4 linked regions of the Drosophila melanogaster genome follow. The protein of the gene in region 3 interacts with the protein of the main gene of each other region in a pairwise test. Each region holds a gene or a part of one and is shown on either strand. Other genes may lie near its edges.

Region 1 (3,071 bases), 7.0 Mb from region 3:
GGTTTATCGAATTTTTCCGTCAATTATGTTGGTTTCTGTGAAAAAGGTTGCCATGATTGAATTACCATAGGATTTCAACAAAATATGTGTCGCAGTATGAAGACCTTGCCGAAACTTGATAAGCAAGCACAGGCAGAGAAATAAATAGTCCCTTTTCTTTTCAAGCCGCAATAAATCACCTGCCAACCGCACATCAATTTTAGAAAGCTCCAAATGGGGATGCAAAATAATCAAAAGCGCAGAACCTTAGTTAACTGCTATATTTCAGCCAATCAATCAAACTGGTTTCAATTATTTTTTCATACATATTCAGGTTTATAGTGTTTATATGTAAGGTGTTTGTAGGTTCTTTATTGAGGCAAATATATATAAAAGAAAAAAAATAAATAAATAAGGTACATTTTGAACTTCACTATAAACAAAAGTCAACACGTCCTTAGTCTCTTAAATATGAATTCGACTTTAAAATCGAATAGTATTTGCAATCCACATCAGAAATAAAGTTCTCTTAATTCAGACTAACAAAAAAGATTGATGTTCTTATATATGCATTCACATAAGTTCGACATGGAAGAAAAAATAATCGGAAAATTGCCAAAGCTTCTTCCTTTTCAAAAAGTGTTCTGCATTTGTGTGGGTATAAACGTGTCCTTGTGAGTGTCTGCACTCATGCATAGAAATAAGCCGATAAAACCCTGACAATTGTGTCATGGAGTAGCGTTTTAGTTTTGGGATTGGACTTAATGCCTCTTGACTTCAATTTGCATAGTCGGCTTAGCAACGTTCGTGCAATGATTGAATGACAAATTGATAGAATTCGGCATTTACCAGTTGACAGCTAAGGAAGAGCTTTTTCCGGTCGGAGGAAACGGAAGAAAAGTTAAACCGATGATGGAGATTTCAGTTCAAATTCTGTTTGAGCATGATTTAATTATCGTGCCGGTTAAAAAGGACTTTTCATTTGCCTACAACAATGTTCACAACGAGTTGCGCCTTTTTAATTATAAAAATCAAAATTCATGAAAAGCTCTTAGAATATAGAGATATGATCTTTTAGTGTTTAAATCTCTTGAATGCGAGTATAACATAATATATATATAAATAGGCTTTTCATCATCACATATAGATGATTTAATCCTTCTTCTCCAACAAAATTTTAAGCCATTCCCAACAAAGTTGTTAAATTGTTAACAAAGCGAACATTTTCACTCAAAAAACGCCCCTATCGCATTGACTCTGACCTAGACCGCAAGCCGTTTAGATCCCGCAGGACTTCCCATTAATCCAATTAGGGCTGAACATATTTGCTTCTCATTAAAAATGAAATCCTTTGCTTTGGACCGGAATCAAGAGCTTTGACCAATTACCAAGCGTTTTTTCATTTACGTTCGCACATTCGAAATAAAAAATTAACCAGGAAGGTCGCAGATAAAGGCATTGACAGAGCAGCTTAGAAATCTCTTTGTCAGCAACTTAAATGAAAATTAAGACATCTGCTTTCATTTAGCTTAAGTGCTTATCTTGCGAAGGACGCAAAGGCAAAGGACACGTTTGCCCACAGGACAATCAATTATGAATGCAACACCGAGCACCATCAGCTTGGCAAAATAGTCTGTAATAAAAGTTAGGTTCATGAGGAGTGCGATGCTTTTGGGCGGCTAATGATGATAATTATATGTTTTAAGTGACATTGATTTGTCGCCTTCAGGATGGGCCGGGAAATTCCCATGATGTTTAATTCATTAGCCAGCTAATCGGCTTACTCTGATAATTAATATAATTGATGTCAGTCATCTTATTGTAGCGCCACCCAAGCAGGCTACTCATTCCCAGTTGCCTCTGTGTCATTTCTATGGATCTAAAATAGGTTTCCCAGTACTATTGACGCCCTGAAAGTAATCAGATATTCACACATAAAATAAATTCAAATAAAATCTGTATATTTTGTACGCTCACAATGAACATGAGGGGAATGGCCAAGCGTTCTATTTGGCTGCAATGTCTTCGGGAAAATGCCACCAATATGCGCCTGGAGCACGAGGATCTGGGACGTCGCATTGCTGTTTCTTTGGCCAGTTCCCAGAAAGCTCTAGTTGATATCGAAAACTTGAATCAAGAGCTGTTAAAAATGAAGGACACAATCCATAATGCCATTTCCAATGTTATGGGCTACGAAAAGAAGTGTTGTGAATTGCTCCTGGAAATTTTGATTAAAATAGTTGAGAACAACGACCTGGATGCCGAACTAAATCCCAAAATGATCTCCAAGGCGTTTCTCGACTTGGATCCGAGTTCCGACGAGACAGAAGTTCTGAATGACCGTAGTCTTGCAGCGTCTGATTTTAATCAGCAATATCCAAAAGATGTGCCGGATTCTATTGATATAAACATAACAGAAGACCAGTAACCATTTTAAATAGGATCCAAGACCGCACCAATTCGATTACTAACGTCTTAATTTAATGCGTTGTCAATTCCACCTCACACATTTAAAAGGAATAATAAGGTGGTCAGGGCTACAAATGTTTTATATTTTTTATCGATTCAATTAAATTTGCATGGTGAAATGACAAAACCCATTGTCTCTTTCTTCAGTTTATAGTTGTGGGAAAGTTTCTAAGACGTTCGAAATGTTAAAACCCTTGAAACGAAAAAACTTAGGATGACCATAAAAATACAAAATTATGAACAGAAAGAAAAGAGAAAAGCACGCCAACATCCGCACAAATTGTCCTGCAGAAAAGTCAAGACAAAATCACGTATACGCACTGTGACAACCCACAGCCTGGGTTAAAGACAATCCCAACTGGTAATCCAAGTCGTGTGCGTAGCCAGCATCCATGTTCCTAAACAATTTGTCGGCGATTTGTCGGCAAACTTGAGCCATATACGCCACACATACGCACCGAGTGAGCCATATTGCACATACGCCCCGTGTGACCCACAGAGGAATACAAAGAGTAACGAGGTTAAGTGACCCAACCAGCAAAACAACCTGTTGACTCAGGCTCTCTGCTCTCTCACTCAAAGCAAACTCACTCATCGGTGGGTTTGTTTTGCTCCGCTCTTTC
Region 2 (8,517 bases), on a different chromosome or scaffold from region 3:
TGCGAAAACTGCACTCAATCAGTGCCAAGCAAACAACGTGCAACCAACACCAACAACCAAAGAAACGCAAGGCTGTGGAGAGGGGCAGGAAACTGGCAAATAAGTTGATTTGTTTGTTGTTTGTAGAGAATGAAAATGCCAAAAAAGCGCACTGCCAATGCAAATACCCAGTGGAGAGGTGAAAAGATGGGTACAACAATTGTGAAGCTCGATTTGATTGTACCCTTTAAATTGAAGCATAAAAAGTATTTTAATTTTGCAATCTACCAAACATTTTTAGGAAAAACCATTTTTAATTAAAATAAAATTTATATTAAATTAAACAAAAAAAGTTATATATTATTAGTTACTGGGTTTCCTCAAATACTGTTTAAAATTTGATCTACCGTCTATTAAATTGCATGCGCACCCTTATTTAATTTATCTATTATAATGAAATCAACCGCTTTTTTTTTGCATAAACTTTTCAAAAGGGTATTTTTTAGCATCCGTTTTTTAACCGTGGCGCACAACAAAAAAATAACGACTTAAACAGAGCGTGTTTGTTTGGCGTTGCACATCGCGTATACGCAGCGTTGTCCCTGCAATGCAGAGCAATTTCATTGACAACGCAGCAGGTGGCATCATCACCATCAGCACGGCAATTCCGCCGGACAGAAGGGCATGGGAAGCTGGCGAATGAGCAACGGCTGACCCGGCAAAGTGCACAACAAAACCTGGGATGGATGCACTTGAATGCAAAATCCTCGACCTGGGGACAAACAAATGAGTGCAGACGAGCAAACAGGCACACACACACACACACACACACACTGGAAGGCAGTTGGCATTCCGGGGCCAGGACATTCCCGGATGTCAATCTCCTGTACACGTCCACACCCATTCAGCCAGATGAGATGCAAGGTGGAGAACTCACCGAAAGTTCCCATTGCCATTGCGCCGACCCGAAAGAAGTTCATCTCGCATTTTTGCACAATTTACACACTGAATTCCCTTAACCGACGAGGCATTCATATGCAAATAAGCTTTTATTAGGTGTTCCCTGGATGGTGAAACGAAAATGGAACCGAAACAACTTTGGGGCCAATGCGGCATGGAAATTGGAGTCTGAGTTGCATATTGATTGCTATTTGGATTATTGAAATGATTGCCCTTTTCTTTCCCTTGCTCTTCATCGTCGTTCTCTTCCGTTTGCTTATCCCTTTTTTTCGGGATTTGGTAATAGATCTGTTGGACTTTTTCCAATTACAGACTTCTTGGGTAATATTGAGTAACTAGGGATTCTTTACTTGTATATACCATACAATACAATGCAATAAAATTTTAATTAACCTAGTTCTTTTTTTGGCAACCGAAATCTGTTGACATTGATGGATGGCTTAAGTTCCAAAAACCCCCAAAATACATAGCTTAGAAGATAGGTTTCCCCCAGCCAAACCAAATCAATCAAATTGGACACATTGTGTGTATGAAGGGAGAGAGGGATGTGTAACAAAAAACAGATTGCCTTAGTTCACAGATAATTAGTACAAAGTGGATTAACGAAGCTAATCCCAGCTAACTCTTGGGTGTCTGACCCATTCTACTACAACAAAATGAAATTACCACAAGAGCGTATTTATTATTTCATTTTTCGGCTGTTTCCCTTTTTGTGGTGCTTAGCCAAGTTTAATTGCATTTTGATTAGGCCTAGCCTGAATTCGTAAATACATGAAAAGCACATTTTCCCACATACAGGTCTAATTTGGTACAACGCTGCGTATGCGTAATATGAGTTCTGTACTTTTGCCCTTTCATTCAATATGCTCTTTATCTAAGCCAGATGATATTGATTGATACCAAATACGTTTCTAATTATAATGTGTGTTGGGATTACAATGCTCGAAATGGCAATGGGTACAATGGGAACTAAAACGCGATTACCCCCACCGATTGCATATTAGCACTGGCCAAAAGAAGTTTCCAAAAAATAAAGTCAGAAAGAGATGGAAAGAGAGTGGGAATGGAAAAAGGAAGAGATAGAGATATAACTGGCTAGTTAGAGAGTGAAAGAGACGGACCACGATTGTCGTTTTGCCAGTTTTTGTTTATGGGTGAATAAAAAGTGAAAGTGCACTTCAAGCCAACTTCGCACACAGCCAAACAAACTGCTTATGCATATAGACATACAAAATGCCACATGTCAACATGTACGTATGTATGTATGTATATCTACTTACATACATACATGTGAGTTGGCTTGTAATTTTAACTGCAACTGTAGCTATGAGCCGACATTTAAACGTAACAGACACTTGAGTCGAGCTAGAAATGTCAGGCCTGGAGAACGTTGGGTGGCGCGGGGCGGCGAGGGGGTGTGGTGCCATCTAGCGGGGGGATTCCCCCCCACAAATGAACATACAAGAAGCAAGTGCATGTGAGTGTTTGCGCCGTCGTTGGTGTTGGGGCAACAATAAACCGTAGGGAAGTGCAACAAATGCATGAATAAACAACAACTCAATTTGAATAAAGCAACAGCAGCGCAGTCGACGTCGGCAGAGGGGTGGGGGGGGGTTCCTAGACGAGGGGCGGGGGGTTGTGGGTGCTGCTTGTTGCAAGGTGTGAAATGTAAACTAAAACTAAGCTTTAAAGTCACTAAGCTCTTGGATGCAACTTTAAATCCGGCTGCAGACGCCGCTTTAAACAGCTGAATCGATTTGAAACAAACGAGTTTCACACAAAGTGCACACAAAAATTGAATAAAAAGTAGTTATAGATTTTCTATTATACATCTAATTATAATACACAGCTCAATGGTTTTATTAATTTCGCACTAAATATGCTTGGCAGAAATGCTCTTTAAAAACATTACTCATTTTATTGAATTTGCAGGCTGGAACAAACAGCTTTAAGCCTAATTAAATATTCTCAGTAAATTGCTTTTAATAATTGATTACCTTTTAGGATAAGCGGGGTAATTAAAAGAAGCTCAATAAATTAAGTATTTATTAGTGTTTCCTTCAACACAAAAGGTGTGTAGCTGAGCACACTTTGTTTAAAAGTAAACATAGTTAAATTAAATAAAATTTTATTAGCGAAAGCTGATGCTAAGAAATTTTTGGGAAATCAATAAACTATTTAGCTTTAGTTATTTACCGTTTGTTATATATAAACTGTGCATAATTTAACAGCAAGAGGGAAACAAAAAACCATGGTTTTGCCAACTTTTTTGAGTCAAACTCGGTTTATGTAAACTGAAAACGGATTTTGGCTCCGCTGCAAAAACTGGTTGGCAGCGTTTCGTTCCGTTCGCCTTGCGTTTATTGCATACAACAATTGATTTTCTTCCGAAGGCGGAGAGCGGAAAAGCGGGACGGCGAAAATGCAAATGAAAATGGCAGAGTGCTCAGCGCCGTTGCGGGATGAATGTCAGCGAGGGGGCAATACATGTAGTTTCAAACAAACTTCAAATTGGCGAACACAAAAGCAGCTCTCAGACACACACACGCTTTACATAGTGAGACGCCGAGTGGGTGGAGTGAATGGAGTGGATGGAGTGGGTGGGTGGCGCTGGGAGGTGCCACCTGCTGGCTGGGCGAGTGCAACAAAAATGACAAACGTGCTTTTGATAGACTTGTTGACGACAAGCTCCTGGCACTTGGCAGCTGTCAGCAGCAACCCAGAAACGGGCTGACGTCCTCACACACGCATGCACTGGCCCAAAAAAGCGGCACCATGGAGATTATATTATTTATAAATTAGATTTTGCATAGAAAGGTTAAATTTACTTTCACTTAAAAGTGGTGAGAGCGTTTAATATTAATATTTGGCAAGGAAACGCAAAGTTTCATTCATTGATTGAGTTAGTTATGATTGATTGATGAAATTTAAGGTTTAACTAATATTTCAAACTACAAAGACACATAGACAGTAAAGACACATAGACACATAGTAATAGACAGTAAATATATTAAAAGAGGTAATTCAGCACAAATGTTTCTCACTGTGCACCCACGGCTATTTTTGATCTCCGGTCTTGTTTGTTAGCATATGAGTGCGGTTGTGAGAAAGGTGAGCCAGTTGCGAATTTGGTAAGCAGGTTTATGGGCGAACCCCTTAATAAATAATACCAAAAATCAATAGGTTGACTCCTTGCGATGACCGTTTTTACGGCCGCGTCCATACATTGAATGTTGCACGTGTGTGTGCGGTTAAATGTACTTTGTGGTCCAATCTTGGTAATTGCAATTACAATCGACTTTGGTCCGCCGCGCCCATGGTAATCAATTTGTTGTGTTAACCGCGGGCGCAGCCCATGGTTACTGCAGCAAACGGTATGGAATTAAATCACAAAAAACTATTGCACTCACTTTTGCTTTCGCTTTTGGTTTTTGATTTGTTGCAATTTCCTTTGGACAGCCTTTTTGTTTTGCTTCTCTTTTATTTTGACTTGGTTTACGCGCGCGGGAAAGAACGAGATGACGACGTAAGTTTCGTAAACTTGTTTTTGTTATGGCCCAAATCACGGATGACGCGAGTCTGGCTCACCGAACACGTCCGATACGCAGCAGCAACAGCAACGCACTGGCTTTGTTTTGGCCAACTCGCCAAGCGGATCCGACCGAAGTGGCCACAGCCGAAGTTGTCAAGCGAAGCCGACAAGTTGTATGTTACTTCATAGCACACTGTTCCACAGGAAATCACTTTTATTTTATTGGCTCCATTCACTTATCATTTCATACGAGTAAAAATATACATTTTCTCTATTGGCGATGAAAATCTGCTAAACCGAGCACGAAATTAATATTTTAATCTTTTGAATTTCGATGGACTTGAATCCAGGTACGTTACAATCAGTGTTGGTAGGCATTATCGATAAGCGATTGTTGAACTAAACACTTTTGTCGCGAAGCAATCGATGGCCGTTCACTCCGCGCGAACTAGTTCACATAGAAAAATAACAAACTCATTTCGCACAGAGTAAAATAGAAAATTACACTTTGAACGGTCTTTAGGCTTTTTTTTATATATAAAAACTAATGAAAATTATGCCCGTGTCATGCTAGAAAACATTTCCCTGTGTGTGATCAAGATCGAAACGGATTTGGATCCCAGTGCAGGTAAAATTCAATGCAGCAACGATAGCTTCGGACAAAGGAAGTGCATTAATTCTATATTTTCGAACAGATTCTGAGGGAGCTGTGTCCGCCGAACATCCAACCAATCCCCGAGTGCTCAAGGAGCGGGAACGCGACCGCGGACTTCGCCAATCCCGCGACATCACCATCGAAACGTACACAAACCAGCGTTGGAAGCGGGAATTGAGTGAACCCAGACAGCAGGAGATGAACTGGGTAGCCGCCGTGCAGCATGTGAACAGCCCCTCGGCGGGCAGCTCCCGGGAGATAACTCCTCGGAGCGGCGATGATGGCCAGGCGGGAGCCAGCGCCTCCAACTTTCCCCAAGAGATAGGGTACTTCTCCGGCAATCCCATCGTCGAGGTGACCAAAGGTCTTATCCATCTCTACAAGAAAAAGTGGGTTAACTCTGCTCTATCCTACTAAATATTTCACTCACCATTATTTCTGTATGTTTCAGCGAACGCAAGGCCATCAAGGAAGCTCCATCTAACCAACTCTGCCTGCTGGCCGTGCCGGCCACTCTTAACTGCCACGATCTGCTGAACTTTATTGCCCCCTGTCATGCAGAGATTAAACACATCCAGATTGTACGTGACGGCAGCCCCAATCAGTTCATGGTGCTTTTGGAGTAAGCGGCGTTCCAATCTGACATTACAGATTCACGGATATTTACTAATATAATCACACTCTTATAGATTCCGCTCGAATGAATCCGCTTTGGAGTTCTACAAGTCCTATAATGGCAGTACTTACAACTCACTGGAACCGGACTCGCTGTGCCACGCGGTCTGGGTATCAGAGGTGGAAAGGAGCGAGCATGGAGCACCACCAATGGGACACACCGAGCTACCCACCTGTCCAGTGTGCCTGGAGCGCATGGACGAGAGCGTGGATGGAGTGTTGACCATATTGTGCAATCACGCCTTCCACGCCAGCTGCCTGATGAAATGGGGTGACTCCACCTGTCCGGTGTGCCGCCATGTTCAAACTCCTGGACTGGTCGAAGATTCCGTGTGCATGGAATGCGAGGGCACCGATTCCTTATGGATCTGCCTGATCTGCGGACATGTGGGCTGCGGACGCTACCAGGGAGGACATGCTGCTGCACACTTCCGGGCCACAAATCACACCTTTGCCATGCAGTTGGGCACCTCAAGCGTATGGGACTATGCCGGTGACAACTTTGTGCATCGCTTATTTCAAAACAAATCCGACGGCAAGCTGGTGGCATCGCAAACCGAGAAAGATGAGCGCGAGGAAAAGATTGACTCCATGCAGATGGAGTTCACATACCTGTTGACCTCTCAGCTGGACACACAGCGCAAGTACTATGAGGAGCGCATGGAACGATTGGAGCAGGAGTGGCAGAACCACAAGGCGACTGCCAACGACGCCAAGACAGAGGTTTCCGAGCTTCAACAGCTTCAGCAGAACATGCAGAAAGAAAAGGTCAATTTGGAGCGCAAGTTGGCCCAGCATACAGCTAAGTAAGAAATACATTCACATCGCCTTTCCTAATTAACCAAATATTAACCAATTTCGTGCTCTTGTAGGCTAAAGGATGTACAGAAGCAGCTGAACGAAGAGCGTGAGTTGTCCAAGGCACTGCAGAGCAACCAGAGCTCCTGGCACGGCAAATACAAACTCTTGGAACAGCAGTACAACGAGTTCAAGCAAACCCACGACGCCGAGGTGACCGAATTAAAGGAACAGCTTCGCGACATTATGTTCTTTTTGGACAATCAGCAAAAGTTGGCCAACACCGAGATAGCGGGTGGCACCGTTACAGGCATTGCAGAGAAGGAACCGGATCCCAACACCCGGCGCCGTAATCGTCGCAAGAAATAAATCATAGCCACCGTACGCCGTCTTTATATCCAAGCTGCATTGTTTACCCGATCTTAGATGGCTATGCAAACCGAGTATATAAGGTTTATAACAGCTCTATATGTGATTTCCTTTGTATAACGAAAACCTAAGGATTAAATATAACTACTACTACGTAGAAAACCATATGTCCCAAAATGTATTGCGTGTTTATTTTGAATTAATAAAATGTTTGAAGAAAGCCGCTTTTCATTTAAATTTTTCCGCTGGTGGCAATAAATTCTGTGTACTTAGCTCGCCAATTTAAAGTTATTATTCGAATACAATCGTGGATTAATAATGATATCATTCAGGCTTCGGACAAATATCCTCGCAATTGAATGTGGGATCCGAAAGCTCCTGGGGTTGCACTGCTGGATCTGCTTGGAAAATCACGAGCTTCTCCTTCATTTCCTGCTCGTTACGATCAAGATTCATCAGATAGGCGGCAATAAAGGCGCGTGGATCCTGCGGCGAATGAATGTGCAGTTGAGCGAAGGCCCTGACCAGTACGTCGCCCATCTGTTCCTTGATCTCGCCAGCCATTGCATCCACGGCCTCCAGATTCTTGCTCTTGGGCATCCAGTCGTATCCCTTGAAACAGCAGCACTCGCAGTAGGTCTTCGGATCGGAATCCTTGAGCAGTTTGAAAAAGGGCAGCAGCTCCGCCTCGCAGCTCTTCAGCTTGGCCACCTCACGCACGAAGCGCTTATGCAGCTCGCACACCTCCTTTCCGCATGCCCGGATAACCTCCGCATCCTGGGAGAGTGTCGCCGTCCGCTTTATGTAGTCCACCGTGTTCTCGTGGAACGACTTGAACTTGCACTTCTCCTCGTTGTAGGCATACAGGCACTGGCGGGCATAGATGATGATGTTGTCCCGCCTCTTTCGAATCTCCTCACTACGCTGGGTGAAGTGCGCTGTCACCTCTTCCAGGCTATTGATCCGCTGGGCGAATTTCGTCACATCCTCGGTGCTCTCGCAAACTACCTTGCCCTTCTTCTCGTGCCCGCACTTCTGGTTCGCCTTGTTAATCTTGGCCAGCTCCGCCTTTAGCTCTAGATTCAGATTCCTTAGCTCCGTGTTCAAGCGCTTCACATCGTTGTCGTTGCAGATCAACGCCTGGAGCATCTCGTGCAGGCAGTTCTTGTGCGGATTGGGCAGCTCATCGGGGCAGCCGGCCAACATTTTTAAGGATTAATTGGGTAGAATATTTTCACAACAAATAGATGTATGTAGCATATATATTTCAGTGTGAATCTTTACTTTTGATCTTTAGTAGAATTTTCTATCAGTTTACTGGGATTCTACGAAAAGAATCCCTTTAACTTAATACAGTATTGAAATATTACAATATGGGCTAATTTAAATATTTTTGTATTGCATTTATAAGCCTTGGCTTAGCAGAATCTTAATTCTTTGTTAGATTGTTTCTTTGCTTGAATATAGTTAAATAACCGAATAACAGTTTTCTTGCGAAATAAAAGTCCAGCATAAAATGTAAAATTACTTACTCGCTGCCAAATTGATT
Region 3 (9,127 bases):
TTGGCAAGGTCCGATTCAAAGTTGTTAAACAATGATCGCCACTTGCGATTGTGATCTACCACTTGGCGCCCAAGGGAGCTGCAGTAAAGCCATTATATTATTTTTTCATTGAAGTACGTTTGTGGGTTCTTATTGACTCACCTGGGGTACTTAGGAAAGCGCCGATTTAGTACCAGTTCACCGGCCTGTATCCGCACCGTGTCCCAAGTACCACTAAGCTGTCCAAACATTTTGTTCCCAATAAGCTCGCAAGTGTCGTCGAACTCCCCGGTCCCCATGGCACCGCTTCCTCCACAGGCATCTCCACTGGGCATGTAGTATTCCCCCCGTCCGTTTGGGCCGAGGAGCGTGAGTTCGCCCTCGTAGTAATAGTCGTTCTCGAAGACAGCAACCCCACTGCCTGTGAGATCGTCTCCGGAGAAGCTGCCCTCGAAGTAGTCGCCGCGGTTGGTGATGCAGCTGCCGATTCCAGATCGCTTGTTATCCGCAAACATGCCCATGTACTTGTCCCCGCTAACCAGATCCTCTATCACTCCGTATCCACTGCGTGCATTGGCCTGGTACTCGCCCACGTAGATGTATCGGTTGTTCCGCATCACTCCATGGCCGTGAAACAGGCCCTCGCAAAAATTTCCTTCGTAGACTTCGCTCTCGGGGGAATCCTTACAGTGCATTTCGTAAACACCGTGGCCGTGGAACCGGCCACCTTTAAAGTTACCTACATACAGCCCCGTTGTCGGAATCACCATTTTGCCGAAACCTTAGGAATAACGTTCTTTTAATGCTTTTTTCTATCTCTAAACTATCGTTTTGGATGATCATCGATAATTTACATAGGAGCTATATAACTAAATAACACCCAGGTCAATTATAACTCACCTTCAATGATCCCGTGTTGCAGCTCTCCGCAGTATACACTTCCGTCTGGATACTCAAGGTAGCAATTTCCGTGGAGAACGCCCTTTCTCCAGGTACCGCACGCTTTCACCCTGGAGAACTTTGGGTGTTCCCGACTAAACTCGTACCCCGTGGAGCGATAGCTGGGCACAGGACTTCCGAGAGGTTTGCCCAAGGACGCTATAATGCTCGATTGCAACTGGTCCAGCCACACCTTGCGCATCTCCTGCGAACGGGTGCTTACCAGAAAGGATTTTTCCGGCGTGGTCAAGCGCAGGCTGTCGCCTTCGGTCCACACCCACAGGGTAGTTAAGGGATACGAGTACAGCGAGTTGCCGCTTACCTGGCAGAGGAAGTCCGAAAAGAGAATGAAACTGTTGCTTGACCTGCTGATACCAGAAGTGACTAGTTTCAATGGAACCAAAGCCGACGTCAAAATAACCCTTCTGTGACGTCCTCTGAACTGCACAATCCTCGGGTTTCTATCGTTGCTGCTCCAGAAATCCTTGGTATTCACGGCGAGCTCCTGGCTGATGCAGCTGTGCCGCGCGAACTCCGACCAGGCCACCCTATGCTCTCCGTACTCAGATTGCGTCCTCACCAGCAGCTCCATAAACTGGACAAACAGCTGGTAGATACTGAAGGGTTGCTGGAACAACCGAGTGACGTAGCTCTCCTCGTTGAGCTCGGCCAGCGGGCTGCTGAGTCCAGTAATGGCGACCACCGCCTCTCCAAATCCATTGACCGAGAACACATCGCAATAGGCCTTTGTGTAGCCGTCAAACAGATCGATGTACTCTTTGTAATGACAGATAAACAACAGGTCGGCAGGCTGCACAAAGTCCGCTCGGTAGAATCCCTCTAGCGAATGCAAAGTGGCCACTAGCAGGCACAGTATTCTCTCCCAGTTGATCAGCAAGGGACCGAGGGCGCTGAGCGGCTCCAGTGCCGACTGTCTTTGCCAGATTTCGAGTGTTTGGACTGCCTGTCGATGCTTGAGAAGCAGTTGTAACTGTGACTGCAGATGACTCAGATAGTAGTGATACTGCCGCTGGAACTGCCTTTGGTTTTGAAGTGTGTATCCGCCAGAACACATAAGCAAACGTAGTTGTCTGGGCCACGCTGCTCCCAACTGAAGCTGGAGAAGCGTCTGCGCGTATGTGCTGGACTGCTGCAGATGTCGCATTGGAGGCGCAGGTTGAAGGGAATGTATTTGACCCGAGGCATTGAGCAGTAGTGTATGGTAGTCGCCGCAAGTCGCCTCAAGCGCCGAGTTTTGTTCTATGGGTAGTGCTGCCGTGTTTTCCGTAATTGTGATCTCCATGGGCGAGCTGACATCTTCACCCAACTGAGAGTGGTTGTTCAGGCCCCAGTGGTAGAGCCTTCCGTCCAGAGTGCGGGCCACCGTGTGCTCTAATCCAGCTGCAATGCTGCACACGCCCATGCTGTCTAGTTTCTGCAAGCGCATCACATTGGCCCTCCGGATATGATCCCCACTGCCCAGGAGACCATTATTGGAGGCTCCGAATGTGAAAAGTTGGGTGTGGAGCAGAGCGTATCCTTGGTGAAGAAGGTGCCTTGTGTTAGCCGCAACGCTGCGCTCCGAGTGGCCACTGCTTATGGATTTTACAGAGGCCCGTTCATCCTCGGGTTCTTCCTTCGCACTGGCCACCGACAGCTGGAGTGCATCGTCGGCCAGGTTGTAGGGAGCTACTAACATCACAAAGTGCTCGTTTCCGGCTGCTAAGTCCAACAGTTCCTTGCCCTCTTCGTAAAGGCGCATGTGCCGAGGCTGTTGTTCTGCCTTGAAGACTTCGCCGCAGCTGCCCATGACATAGGTCTCCCCACTAGCGCCGACGAAGACAACGCCCTGGGCGGAGCAGCAAACCCGTCGGATGCGTACGCCCTCAGCATGCAATTCGAGAGGGTCGAAACCGAGGGTTTGCCACGCATGTGGATGACCCACATCCCGGCCAGATCCCGTGGCTTGGCGCTGCACAGAGCCATTGGTGAGGACTACGAATAGTTCCTGACTGCCGGAGCAGAAGTCCATATCCACAACATCGGTACGCAGGAGTTGAAGATCCATGTGTTCGCGGTTGGCCTGCAGCTTGGCGGAGTAGAGGGCGTGGTCAGTGGTCAGAAGGAGCAGTTCCCCGCCGGCATTGCTGCAAATCCGGGATGCGGGAAACCGCTGCAGGGGCGGCAATCCGCGCCAGTGAAGCTGTAGCTCCCTGCCTTCATGATAGATGGTGAAGGACTCCCGCTCCTCCTGACCCCCAAGTGCCGAGTCATCCGCTGCACTGGCCATGATGTGCAAATTTTTGTTGGGGTTTTGGACAGGGCCAAAGCTTTGTAACACGACGCAATTGCTCGATTTGTCTGCAGGTCGTTCTCACATCGTGCACGTGCTCCGGTCCACGCTAGGCACTACTGGCACCAACGAACATCATATAACTTGATTCGGAATGCAACTCTAGCTGCCACGATAAAATAAATTCTGTTTTCACTTGTTCTTAACTGGCTAATAAGAATTCATGTTTTTGTGATGGTTTTTTGGATTAGTGTGACCAGCGCTATCGAGTCCCAATGAGAATTTATTAAGTAAGGGTGTTCGGGTAAAAGTGACGTTCTAAAATTGGGCTTATCACTATTTATTTGGTCCATGCAAATTGTTGTTTTATAACCAATTTTGAAAACACACATAATACCTTATACGTAAACTCAATATTGTAGTTAGCTAGAACTCTTATATAAATTTAAATAACTCCTTAGTTGCATTCGCCATAATCATGGAACCAGTCAACACAAAAAAGTTATTTTGGTATTTTTTTGCGATACATCAATTTGTTTTAATATGGTCATATTGTTTTTGCCATCAGCTGTTCGACTCAAAAGTTTTTGCATGTTTTGTTTATTTCGCTTAAAATGTAGTTTTATCGTTAATTAGGAAAAGTTACCCACGGTAAAAAAAAACAACCGTCAACAATTGTTCAGAAACATCAACTAGTACGACTCAGTGGACACCTCCGTGTGGTACTGCTGGTTTGCATACGCCCACAAAAGTTGTTTTAAGCCACAAACTCACCCTCCTAAAATAAAATTTTTTCAGCTCGGTTATGGATTTGGACTGCGAGGGCGCTACAGCTTTGGCTGACGACTCAGGGCACTTTAGCTGCACTAGCGATGATGGAGTAGGAGATCCTGCTCAGAAACCGGCGCCGCAGCCTGAACCGGACCAATCGATTTTTCTGGTGCGGCAAGAGCTGCTTCGGACGCGCAGTGAGGTGCAAAGGCTCTTAAAATCGGAGCAGTGGTACAAGCAGGAGCTTAAGTCCCAGAAGCACAGCAGGCTACAGACGCTAGAACGATTGTACGCACAGGAACGGAAGTATTTGATGGAGAACCAGAAGCTGCAGCAAGAATCGATCCGCCTGCACACACAATGCGCCACTCTGGAGAAGCAGCAGGAGCAGGGCTCACCATTTTCCCCTGGCTCATCGCCGTTTAAAGCAGACTCGGAGTCACACGACTCCTCTTTTGAGGCCAAACAGCAGGAGGCGCGCCTACGGGATCAGCGTCAGTTGATCGACGTGCTCCGAAGGCAAAAGAAGATGCTTCTGGACGACATCCAGAGGATCAGTCTGGAACACGATGAAAAACTTTCGCAGTTGCAGCAAACTGTTGTCGGCATGGAGCTGGAGAGCAAGCACGTGACTGGAAAATGCAAGCAACTACTTGACCTTAAAAGTCAAATGGAGCACCAGCTAGAGCTAAGAAGCACTACCCTACGCAGTGTCACCGCGGAGCGTGATCAGCTGCGCCAAGTCATTGCTGAGCTTAACGAGACGCTGCAAACGCAGGAGCATCTGTTAGCGCTAAAGGAACAGGAGTTCCTGGATTTGAAACAGTACTACCAACAAAAGCTGAAACGGGAGAGTAGCATGGAAATTATGCACTCTTATAGCATGAAATTTCACGAAGAGATCAACAGAAAAACGAGTGAAATTGCCAGCCTTAAGAATTCTCTTAACGAGCTTCAGGCCGAGCTGATGCTGATGTCTCACATGAAAGAGCAATGCGAGGAACAGCAGCGTCAGCTTGAGCAACTGGAGTTCGCATTGCAGGCACAACTTTTGGAGGAGACTCAACTTCGGCAAAGCAATGCTCTAAAACTGGAGCAGGTGGAAAATTTAACAATTTCTTTGGCTTCGTTACAACTAGATAAGGAAGGCTTAAAAGAAAATTTAGGTGAGGCGCAAAAGACCTTGAAAAATCTACAGCAGAAGGTGGACATTCTTCAAAAACAGTATGCCGAAATGTGCTCCTTGTGTCAAAAGACTAAACAGCAATTGGAACTGGAGAAAATCGAGATTGCCAAAATGAAGCAAAACGGTTCCTTAAAGGAAAGTGAGCTAATGGAGAAACTCAAAGATTATGCAGCGCAGTGTGATGAGCTGAGAAAAGCGTTGGCCGAAGCAGAGTCCCGTATCGATGTCCAAATCAAAAAGACAGAGGGCTGGCAAGTGCAGTTGAAACACAACCAAGCGACCCAAACGGACCTCGAAGATCCGATTTTAGTTCAACGCATTGAGACTTTGGAACAACAACTAGCGGATGTCAGGAGCCAAAAATTGCACACAGTTTCGCTGCTCCAAATACTGCTTCAACAGCAAGAAGCTAAAATCAAGAGCACTAACGAAATGGAAGCAGACTGGCAACAACTGTTAGATGCTCTGCAAGCTACTCAAAGCTTGGAGCAGGAAATGCGATCAGAACTACAGCATAAGACGGTTGAATTGGAGCACCTGAATGAATTGTTCGCTGGACAAAATGATGAACTGCAAAAGCTCCAGAAATTGAGCCAAGCGCAGGACGAGGAAAATCGACTAGAGTTACAGCTTTTGAAGAAAACATTCCAAGAGAATCTGAAGATAAACTCCGCTGCGTCGATTAACATGCAAAGGCTGCAAGGCCAGGTAAAGTCTTTGCTAGATGAGAAGGAGGAAATTGCGCGAGAAGAACGCAAAGCAGTAGAGTGTTTGCGATCTCTTGGTCACGTTCTTGAGATGGAAACAGGAAGGAGGCTACCACATATAAAAAGCTGGCCTCAGTTGGCCAAAATTCTTCGAAAGGAACTGCGAAATGGGAGGGTTAACAATCGAAAGGCTGAAGAGCTTCCTGGGCTTAAAATGAAGCTGGCGGAGATCAGCGGAAGGCATCAGCAAGCTTTGTCAAAAATTAAGGTATGTTATGTCTTACTCCCTTAAAGTAACTCTTTGTAACACAATTAATTGCTTTTTACAGTGTCTGGAGCACACTTTGGTAATGGAGCGAGCGCGGTTTGAGGCCTCGGACTCGGGCAAATCGACGGCTAGCAACACGCCCCAGGAACCCGCCCATGAAGTGGCTAATCTTATTGATGACTACAAGAAGGTAAGTATGTTCCCCTCCGATTGGCTTCTCTTGACATTTCCTTAATTGATTTACAGCTCGTTCAGCAAACCGCCAATGAAACATGTCGCCCTCGCAACAGCTTCATATTCGATCTGATTGAGCGGAGTCAGCGATGCCAACCGAATTTGTGCCAATTAGGCGAGGGTATTTCCGCCTGCCAGTCTGATATGAAGGAGCTAAGCAGGATTATTATTGCTGGTCGGGAACGGAGGAGAGTGGAGCCCATGCCCTCCCTCATGGATGAACTTCGAGCGGTGGCCGAGCACTCTTAGACGAGCATAATTTAGTTTTCAGTCAAATACTTATAAATTTCCTATTTAGTACCTATTTGTTTAGTCTCAAATTTTGTTTTCCTAAAAGGGGCAATTAGTGAATTGAGTTTTTGTGCCTAGTCTCATAGGCCTAATTTTCAATCAGATCCAACTTAGTTCAATTTATATAAATATTTATTTTGTTGTCTTTTGTGTTCGTTATCTTTATTTATGTGTAACGCATTCTGTTAGTTTCACCAATTCTATATACATACTAATTGCCAAACTATACCAATATTTTTTCTACAAGATATATAAACCATTGTTGGTTGCCACAAAAATGTGTAATTATTTTTATAGTCCATAACATTTAAAGTTAAAAACCTTGTGTAGATAAAACATATTTGTGTGAAGTCGATCAGTGCACATCATTTACTTTCGTGGGCACCTAGGGATTTTAGTACCATCGTTCTCCGAAATAACTTCCTTTTTGTCATATATCGTATTTCCGTTTTCATCCACGTCCAGAACTTCCTGTATTACCCCTTTTCGAGTTCGTGTTATCCCACACATAGGCTTATCGTTTTTATCCATGCACAAAATCAGGAGCTCAGTGTGCTGTAGATCAGAGGGCTTTAGGACCTTTGTTACCTTACAAGATGCCGTAAACTTTATGGGGCACGTCACCCCGGCACATTGCCAACCATCTGGGGGGAAATAATTATTAACATAGATGTTCCAATACTACTCGTATCCATGTAATCCATACACTTAGTCTTCTTTACCGTCGCTCGATTTAAGTCCTCATTTAGGTGCCGATCTCCGTCTGCCTTAAAATAAATGTACGATCCATAATACTCCATATACGGATTTACCCTTACCACGGTGTGGTCAGCAAAAGATAAAATGGCCAGCACTACCAATATTAAGGAGATAAAGATATTCATAGCTCAACCTTGCTGATGCAGTTTTCCTCTATGACTGATTGATTCAAACAAGTCTGCTGATGTATTGGATCAGCCTAATGTGTAATGTGTGTGTTCCACAGAACAAAGATACACCCCTGCAACTGAGTTCAGAATTTAATAACACTATAGTTTATATACGTTTCCGGACGTCTTACATTGGGAATTGTTATTCCTGTATTGTATTCACAATCAGTCACTTAGAAAGTCGCCTTGGAAGCGGAAACATGTCTTCGTCAGGGTGACTTAAGCTGTGGCAAATTGATTCTCCAATCAGAGACGGTGGCATTCTTTTCCATTCCGTTCGAAATGCATTAGGCGTAGGTACCCGACAACACCCTTGGCATTGTCAACGCCTGGAAAGGAATCCGGAGGGACCCGCACGAGGAGGGCGATCCACTTGGGTATTGATAAATGCGTTGAAAACTAAGCGACCGCCCAGTGGATTACCACGGCCCCACGCCAGGCTGCCCGATTCCCGATCCTCGACACCCCTCCCGCTGCCAGCTCGCGATGAGGAGCAATCGACAACAATCGCTGGTCAAATTCAATTGGCGCAATTTTTCATCTGTGGCTCCCAGGGATCCGATCTGGCGGATCCTTTTGGCTCTGCCTGCTGCCGTCTATTGTTGCCCTGGGCCTTGGCAATTGTTCTCGGCTCTGGATCTCTGGAGCTATGGGGCCATGGAGCCACGGGGCCATGGGCTATGGAGGTATATGGCTGCGGAGCCCTTGGGCTCAAGGTTGTTTATTTTGAAAAATCACCATCACCCGATCGTGGCTTGTGCCGACGGCTGGGGATTTAATTCTGTTCTGGACATTTATAAATTGCATTCAATTTATACACAACACGAAAGCGTGATTTTTACATTTTTACAATCTAGCGAATAATAGATCAGCGTCGTATTATTGCGGACTCCTTGCTCCAATGCTCTTTGGGGCCATACCTTCTTTGGGTCTCCAGCCCGTGCCGTGGACTGGTAGTTGATTGAAAGTAGTGTTGCTCAGGCAACAACTAAACCAATAAAATACGCAAATATCTATAATATTATTATTTATATATTCCGTTGAAATTGAAATTATCCTATCTTAATACTGTAAATATATATTTTTTATAATTTCTTAACGTCAACAGCAATAATATATAATAATATATATAATATAATGTAGTCGTAAACAATTACTTATTCTGTTCAGTAATGATACATTGTTGAATGCTTTTTAATGGCAATAGCCTTAAATTCGGCGAAAAGTTGAATAACTACGATTTCATTTCGTTTTTCATTAAAAATGTTGGAAATGTAAAAATTTCAGATATCTCTTAAAATTGTCTGTTTACCCGCATTGACACCCGTTCGAGGTCTATTATTATTGGAGTCCAAGTTCCCAGCCAGGTCCAGCAAGGTGGGGACATCGTGTCGTCCGTCCGAGGGTATCATTTTATTCGATGAGAGTGCTTTTCGCTGTACTTCTCTGGGACTCTTTGATTTTTTGATTTCGGTTCTGTGCATTGAGCAGGTCGCTCATTAAAGCGGAGTAGTAGGCGGGTGAGGAGTG
Region 4 (7,457 bases), on a different chromosome or scaffold from region 3:
AAGAATGGTTTGTTGGTATATGTTAAGGGTAAATAATATGTTAATCATTTCTGGGTTACCTTGAGCGGTTTAAAACTATTTCTAGAAATGTTTATACATTTTTTTCCGTGCATAAGAAAGCCCAGTACCCAACTGGGAGCTCATTCGTTGCATACTTTCCGTTAGCCCGGTTTGTCTCACTTTCCCAGCAGCGAGTACACATTACATTTCCCTCTCAATTGTTTGGCACCGAATAAAAGAAACCCCGAGCCGGGCTACCCATATCCAAAGCCAGGGTCCAAAGTGGGCGTGCTTGTTGCGGGCTGGTGAGGAAGTGAGTTGGCTCCATGGATTCCATGGAATGCAACGACCATGACAGGGCACATGGCTCAGCATGGGTAAAGGCATTCGAGTCAAGGGGATGGCTGGCATACTTGTGTGTGCATTCCGCCAAAAACATTTGAATGCCAAGTATTCAAAGCAATCTAAACAGGGCTGGGTGCAGGAATATCGGCTACCTATCATTCAACGTTAGGGTTCGACACAATCGAATGAGTGGCAACACTTAATTTAATGAATATTGAACCAGTTATAGTATCAATGAGATTTAGTTGAATGGCAAAGCGCAAACGTAAATGGAATCGCATACGAATGCATCGAGTCCACAATCTACACATATCCTGTGCACAATGTCAACCGGCTGACAGGACAAAGAATCATAGCAAAGCACCATAAACGGTCGGGATTAAGTAAATATTTTGTTACCCAAATCTGATGGAATTTACGCCATGATCCCTCGAGCTGTATTCTTTGAAAAAAACTAAATGGGTAAAATGTTTATTTTTATAATGGGTGGATCTGCACACCTTTAACCCTATCTAGATGATTTGAAATTTTCTTAATTTTGTACTTAAACTTATTTAAGCCATTAAAATATTTTTTAATCCCCAAAGTATATTTTTAATATCATAAGCTAGAGTATTCAAGAAAAATGCAAATCCGTGAACGAATTTTGTTTCTACTGCAACCATCGGCGGGAACCGTGGCACAATAAATATAACAATTGAAATGGCAAATACTCTGAAAACGGATTCCTGTATATGCACGAAATGAATCTCTAATAAAAATGATATTTCCATTACGGCGATTAAGTCGTCAGGACAAAGCACCAACACAGGGGCAGTTGGATGGAAATAGGGAATAACAGGATATAGAGGTGGAAAGCTTTTCTACTGCGGTCTTTGCCTGGTTGTAAGGATGAGTCCTGTGATAGGATTTTAGCTGCCTGCCATTATTTCAATTGTTGTTGTTTATATTCATTGGATTTTGTACCTCCTGCATTCGCTCTGTCTCTCTCTCTCCCTCTGTCTCTCTCCGTTTATGTGTCTTTCTCTTGCCCCTTACATCATTAATATGAGCGTTTTATGTGGATTGCACAATCGGCCTGAAGGTTGACCATAAAATATTTTCCAGCGCCCATCCGATGATATCAATTTTTACGGCTGACAATATTAGCCCGACATAATTATCAATCTTTATGGGTCGAACTGAAATGGTCTGCAATAAAATGCCAAACGTAGATCGCCGATAACGAATGTCCTCGGCCGCAGAAAGGATGTCCTTCTAGCGCAGAAAATGTTGTAACACATGTGTGCACGTGCTGATAAAATTAGCAATTCGAAACCATTTGTGGGATGGTGTGGTTTTCGGGGGCGGAAGGAAACCTGATATTAGCAGCAGATATATTCATGTCGGCTGCTCTCGGGCGTAAAGTCATGGAGCAGCCAACGGGGCGGATGAGTGTTGCTGCCAACGGGGCGAATGAGTGCTCTTGCCACTGTACCCGGTCGGGCCTTTGGCTGTTTTGCGGTCTATCTACCTCTTGGTTAGGAACATTTCCCACACCCATTCCCCATTTACCCAACCCTTCCCGTTACCGCTAGGGGTTTCACCACCCACCCTGCGCGTGTCGAAGCATCTCAGTTGGAAAATGGGTGACAATTCATGACAGGGCATGAGCAGTGCGCGTAATTTGCATATACGGTGGTGTTCGTTCATTCGTTTCGATGGTCGAAACTAACCAGGCGTTTGGGTTGTCCAGCTGTCCCGCTCTTTTTTTCCCCCTTTCACCATGAGCCACAAAATTCCCTGCCGTATTGGCCCGGCAGTTTTGGCATTGACTTGGCTGCACTTAGCCCCATCGCATTACACAATGTCCCCTCATTCCGGCTGCACATTGTGATAAAAATCCCCCTTCAATGCATTTTCCACACCGAAAAAAGGTGGAATATAGGGCAGCTAAAATAGAAACCTCTCTCACACATTTTAAATGCAAATGACACACCATGGCGGGCAGATAGTGGAAGAGATGGGGCAAGTTCGAGGTGTCTTTGTGGCTTGCCAGCCGGCAGATTAAAAGCGAAATTAGTTTTCCTCTAATAGGCTAATGCAGCTTGGTCGAAAGCAGTTAGTGACAGGATGAATATTTCATATTAACAGAATTTTAGCAGCTATTTCAGTTGTCGACACATGGTAAATGTACATACTTTCATGTAGAGTCCAAAAAAAATAATTCTAAAATTTTATTTTCTACAATTAGTACCAAAAATTAGTATCCACTTAAAATTTTGGCTATTCAAAATGGTTTCAGTTCTTATTTCGCCTGTTCTTCTTGCGCATGTGTTTCTTCCACTTTCTCCAGTATTTCTGGATCTTGATGGCTGCGCGGTTCATGGCGAATAACAGGACACGATGCTGGCGGTGCCTGGCCTCCTCTTCCTCTCGCTTTACGACGATCTGCTTGTAGACCCGCTCAACCTTCAGGAACCCAATCATGTATTCGTCGAGGGCCTTCTTAGCCTTTTTGTGTTCTTCGGCGAGCTCCATGTTCTCGATCATCTTTTCGCCAATGCTGTGATCGTATTTCTTGATAATGGCTTGTAGTTGTAAAATCAGCTTGTTTCTAAGGATTTTGGCCAATTGTTGATGTTATCTAAATATTGTCGGTCTAAAAATCCAGTTTCACTTACTTTTCCTCTCGAAACACCTTTTCCTGTTTTAAATAGTTTTTTGTGGTTAAGTTATAGTTGTTTCGCGTTTTTTGCAGCTGTTCTTCCAAATCAGCTTGTCGCTCTAAACTTAATTTTTTATTGGCCTTTACCAGACGAGTGCACCGATCGCTGAGAGTACAAACTGATAAGTTAAAGGAACATTTATTTTTTCTACGAGCATCACTCACATTTCCTTTTGGATTCGCTCGTTCTTCTCCCTCTTCTTCTTCATGAGGAGGTCCTCGTAGTTTTGCAGGTAGGCCTCCTTATCAGCCAAGCTCTTCCTGATGGCCGCCTTCTGATCCAGGATCTTCTTGCGCAGCTCTTCCACCTGCTCCTTGACCACCTCGTTCTGCTTGTACATGGCATGCAGCTGGCGCTCCTGGGCGATGGCGTCGGTGGACGTCCTGTACAAGCGGTCCTTGGCCAGATCATAGAGCATCTCGAAGGCGTTCAGCAGCTTCTTCTCGTTGTCGCTCATGTGGTTGTAGTAGCTGGGAAACAGAAGGTAGATCCTGCTGTTCCGCTGGAAGAAATCGATGATCTGGATAATGCCGTGATCCATCAGGGGCGGACGTTTCTCCCGCAGAATGAACTCCCTTCGACGAACAAACGATTCCACCAGGTGAACTGCCTTTTCGTACTTGGTTCCATTAAGAATCTTAGCCATGTGCGCGGGGTGTTCCAGCAGTTTCGGCATGATTAGCGAGATCTTAACCCGTTCGATGGCCTCGGCCAGGACATTTAAAACACATCCGATTTGCACTATTCTCACGGTTGCAAATTCTAGGCGCAGAAGGTGTAATTATGTGATTAAACATTGACACAAGTGTTTTGTGTCCCAAATTTAAAGATACAATGTTTTCTTATAAACGCACATAAAAGGTATTTGTCTGAACGCACTTCTTTTATATTGTAATTAAGCAGACTTTTTAAATGGTTGTAATAAACACAGAAGAATAGCTATTTTGCTATTTTAATTTAGAACAATAGATTTAGTTAAGTCTGCTTAAGATTTCTAAACACCTCACCATGCTGGGCCAGTTTGATGTCATTCTTCTTTTCCGCTGGCATCGATTTGCCCCGCATCATCTCCGTCAAACTCATCTTGCTGTTCGTGGTTTTTAAATAGTCTTTTGTGAATAATTCATTTATTTTTTTTTCTGATTAAGGTGCTGCGAAAGCAGCCTTTACTGTAAAGAGCTTGTTTTTATTTGTTTCTCGCTTTATTTTATTATTTTTTTTTTTGACAGCAGTGGTTTTGTGTGTCGGTGTAAATTTGTTCCTGCTCTGAGCTGAAACTCGAACTGCACTGTGATGGAAGTTAGCCCTGTTGCCTTGATCCCCTGAACGATGTGCCCAATTTATGTACACAAATTCGTATATTTACAAAAGCGGATCCTCGACACATCTATCTGCCACTGGGTTCGCTCCGCTGAGCTGCAAACTTCCTCAAGTGGAAGCTCTTGTTTGGACCCGAATCAAGTTGACATTACATGGCGTGTTTCAGTCGCGGACTGCGGACAAAGTTTCTAAACAAATGCCCCGGAATTTGTGACTACAAATGCAGCGCTTCCTGCTCGATGTTGGATGCACATTTTTTGCAGCTCTTTGTGCGCTCCTCTGTTCCGCTGTGTTGCCAAAAATTTATGGCTAACAATATTTTTGGCTGGTAAAGACGCATTCAGCTCACAGCACATGGCAAACAACTTGCTGCGAGTCACAGGCGAGGCACCTAAATAAACCGATTCGTGGGGGAGGGGCTGGCTGTTTTCCGGGGACGTGTTCTAGGCGGAGTTATTGAGGGAGTTTTTAGGGGCGTGGCACTGTTTCGGGGCGTAATTTGTATGCACTACTCGACCATCCTGCATCTCCGCCTCTGAATATGAATCCGAAACCGAATCGGACAGTATGCGCCAGTGAATTCGGTTTCATCCTGAGTTGTTTGTGCTTTGAATACCCTTTTAGGGGAAATAGTGCATCATGAAGTGCCCACAGTGTCGAAATTCCCACAACTAAAATCTTCAACGTTCGAATAATCATAAAATTTCTGGATTTTGTCTGTAATTTTTGGTCACAAATAGCAGTTACATTTGAGCAAGAAAGTGTATAATCTCTTCGTTGATTGAAAAATCTTGGCAGTTATCATTTTTTCTATCGCATTTTCCATAGCTGCTGTTGTTGCTCTGCGCTTATTGCATTTGTCTCGATTCGTTTGGCTCGCACAAAAACAAATTGCCGGAAGTATGCAAATGTTTGATGCAGCTTATCAGATATTGTTTGAGAGCCTTCCCCCGTTTTGTTTTGTTTTTTTTTTTGGAGTGGGTAGAGGGGCGTGGGCGTTTCGGGGCGTGGCATTTGGCACGGCGCTCATTTGCCTTGCAAAAGGCGCGCCACCAGTGAGCAACCAGCAAACAAGAGCCAAGCGACAGCAAATAACTTTCAGAGACACTTGCATCCCGAACACAAATAAAAAACCAGAAAAGTATCGGGAATTGAACTGTCAGCTGCAGCAGTACGTTGGGGAAATCGAAATTGAATTACATTTGCACTTTATGCTAAAGATCCATCAGATGACAGCAACGGCACATGGAGCGAGATAAAAACTAATTAAAAATGTTGCGAAACAATTTGGGGAGGAGATGGATGCCAGATTCCTGGAAAAACTTTAATTTAGTTTACGAATGTTCAGAAATATAGGCAAGTCTCTATCCAAGTCAATAATCTTTGGAATTCTTAAAAACTAATTAAAAGTGCTATAGAAACAAAGTTTGATATGTGTCGATCAGAAAAGAACAGAAAGCTAGAAAGTTATAGGGTTTACTTGAAAATCAAACACAATATTCCTCAGGCTGGATAAACATTTTTTAGTCGTAGGCATTTTAAAATCTATATACCACTTAAGTTTCATTTATAAAAAAAATCGGCAAATTAAATACGTATGCTTTGAAATATGTATACCTTCAATACCAAGTGTTTTTTCTAAATAAACTTAAGCCACAATGATAGTTACTAAACATAGAGTTTATTTGTGTTAAGAGCGTGTACCATATAAAGTGTATATTCAGTGATTTTTTATGCTTTTCATGTTAGTATTGAAATCACCAGCTATATGTTTTTCACGTAGGTGGTATATGTTTGTTCTGTTCTGGTGACCTTTTTTTGGCAGACCCCTTGTCTTGGTTCAAATTAATACATTGGCGAGTGGAACTCAATGTCATTTATCAACCCCGAACTTTCTGACATTTATGCTTTGTGACAACCAGGTCCTGGAGTCTAGAATTGGGCCCGACAAAGTTTCTTTCGACAGATGACACATTTTCCTGTAGCTCTCCTACATGAATGCTTGATATTTCCATATTTCTTCAGGGCCACTGGACTGGGCAGAATAGGGAAGAAAATCACCCCCTATTGATAAATGATGCTGATGGATTTTTATTGCCCGGTCTTCTCGGCTGGACAAGGGAAGATAGCTGGACCTGGATTCTCCGCCCAAGGGGGTTGGATTGGACCACATGTACGTATGACATGCTGTTGGACGGCTGCTTATCAACGGTTTAGCGCGGCTTGTGTGCCTGACAGGTGAATAAAAGCAGCTGTCAACACTTTTTTATCCCCGTTTTTGAGGTGTGAGTGTGCTTGTGTGAGTGTGTGCGCGAACTGAGGTCCATTAATATTGATATAGAATATATTGATTTTGCGCTTTGTTTTTTGCTGCCAAGGAGCATGCGAGGCGAGAGATTAATGCTTCTACGAGAATGCCAAGCGACTATTTGAATACAGTTTCTTGGCTATCGTGAAGGCTTGAGTTCTGCAAGCTGAAAATTAGTTTGTGGCTATTTTTGGAAAATCAAAGCACTTGCCAATGATTTGGCTTGCTTACCAGGCATATTATATATAAATTGCCAGGCCATCCATCAAAACACTCACAGCAAACGAAGACGTCGGTGGGAGGATGAAGGAAGTCAGAAGGCAATTTGAGAAACAACTTCAATGCCAATTGGCCAAATCCGAATGCATTTAATGGCCACAAATTCAATTCAATGGCTCAACAAGATGCTCAGCTTAAATCTGGGTAGAACGGGGCGTGGCCACTGCACTTCTCGCCTCCGCCGGTTGAAAATTTTATGTTTAATTTATTGATACACTCACCTTGCAATAAAAATTGATGGCAGAAACACATTTACACACCGGATGATGGCAGAGTGAAAAAAGCGTGGTAGGGAAGCGGGGCGTTGGCCATAATTTTTCATTTCATTGTTTTGTTTCGCAGCAGTCGTGGGAAAATACTCCGCGGATAAACCCGAAACAAAAAGCTGGCAAAGTGGCAAGCAGCAAGAAAAAAGGAGCGCAAAAGAAAATCGAGGGAAAATTCTTTTCTATGCGGGGAAAATTCATGAAATGCCCGACGGAACTGGAAGCGAATTT

What was found.
Region 1: the proteins of CG11248 (region 3) and CG13476 interact in a two-hybrid assay, tested with the Drosophila melanogaster proteins (one large-scale study listed by BioGRID).
Region 2: the proteins of CG11248 (region 3) and myd interact in a two-hybrid assay, tested with the Drosophila melanogaster proteins (one large-scale study listed by BioGRID).
Region 4: the proteins of CG11248 (region 3) and CG1137 interact in a two-hybrid assay, tested with the Drosophila melanogaster proteins (one large-scale study listed by BioGRID).

The regions. Positions count from the first base shown.
Region 1 is NT_037436.4:14,703,587-14,706,657, forward strand, and holds CG13476 (uncharacterized protein), read left to right. Parts: upstream 1-1,877; 5' UTR 1,878-1,957; coding exon 1,958-2,407; 3' UTR 2,408-2,571; downstream 2,572-3,071.
Region 2 is NT_033777.3:19,176,709-19,185,225, reverse strand, and holds the start of myd (mayday), read right to left. Parts: upstream 4,568-8,517; 5' UTR 4,110-4,567; intron 1-4,109. Other genes in the region: CG5555 (uncharacterized protein), read left to right, coding at 4,806-4,821, 5,046-5,099, 5,167-5,515, 5,578-5,748, 5,816-6,607, 6,674-6,968; CG14282 (uncharacterized protein), read right to left, coding at 7,293-8,174.
Region 3 is NT_037436.4:21,676,291-21,685,417, forward strand, and holds CG11248 (uncharacterized protein), read left to right. Parts: upstream 1-3,759; 5' UTR 3,760-3,862; exon of another isoform or gene 3,863-3,942; intron 3,943-4,009; 5' UTR 4,010-4,016; coding exon 4,017-6,143; intron 6,144-6,204; coding exon 6,205-6,333; intron 6,334-6,389; coding exon 6,390-6,626; 3' UTR 6,627-6,941; downstream 6,942-9,127. Other genes in the region: Als2 (amyotrophic lateral sclerosis 2), read right to left, coding at 1-78, 142-760, 880-3,208; Sfp78E (seminal fluid protein 78E), read right to left, coding at 7,038-7,312, 7,375-7,552.
Region 4 is NT_033777.3:6,556,090-6,563,546, forward strand, and holds CG1137 (uncharacterized protein), read right to left. Parts: upstream 4,263-7,457; 5' UTR 4,137-4,262; coding exon 4,061-4,136; intron 3,816-4,060; coding exon 3,218-3,815; intron 3,159-3,217; coding exon 3,009-3,158; intron 2,942-3,008; coding exon 2,626-2,941; 3' UTR 2,529-2,625; downstream 1-2,528.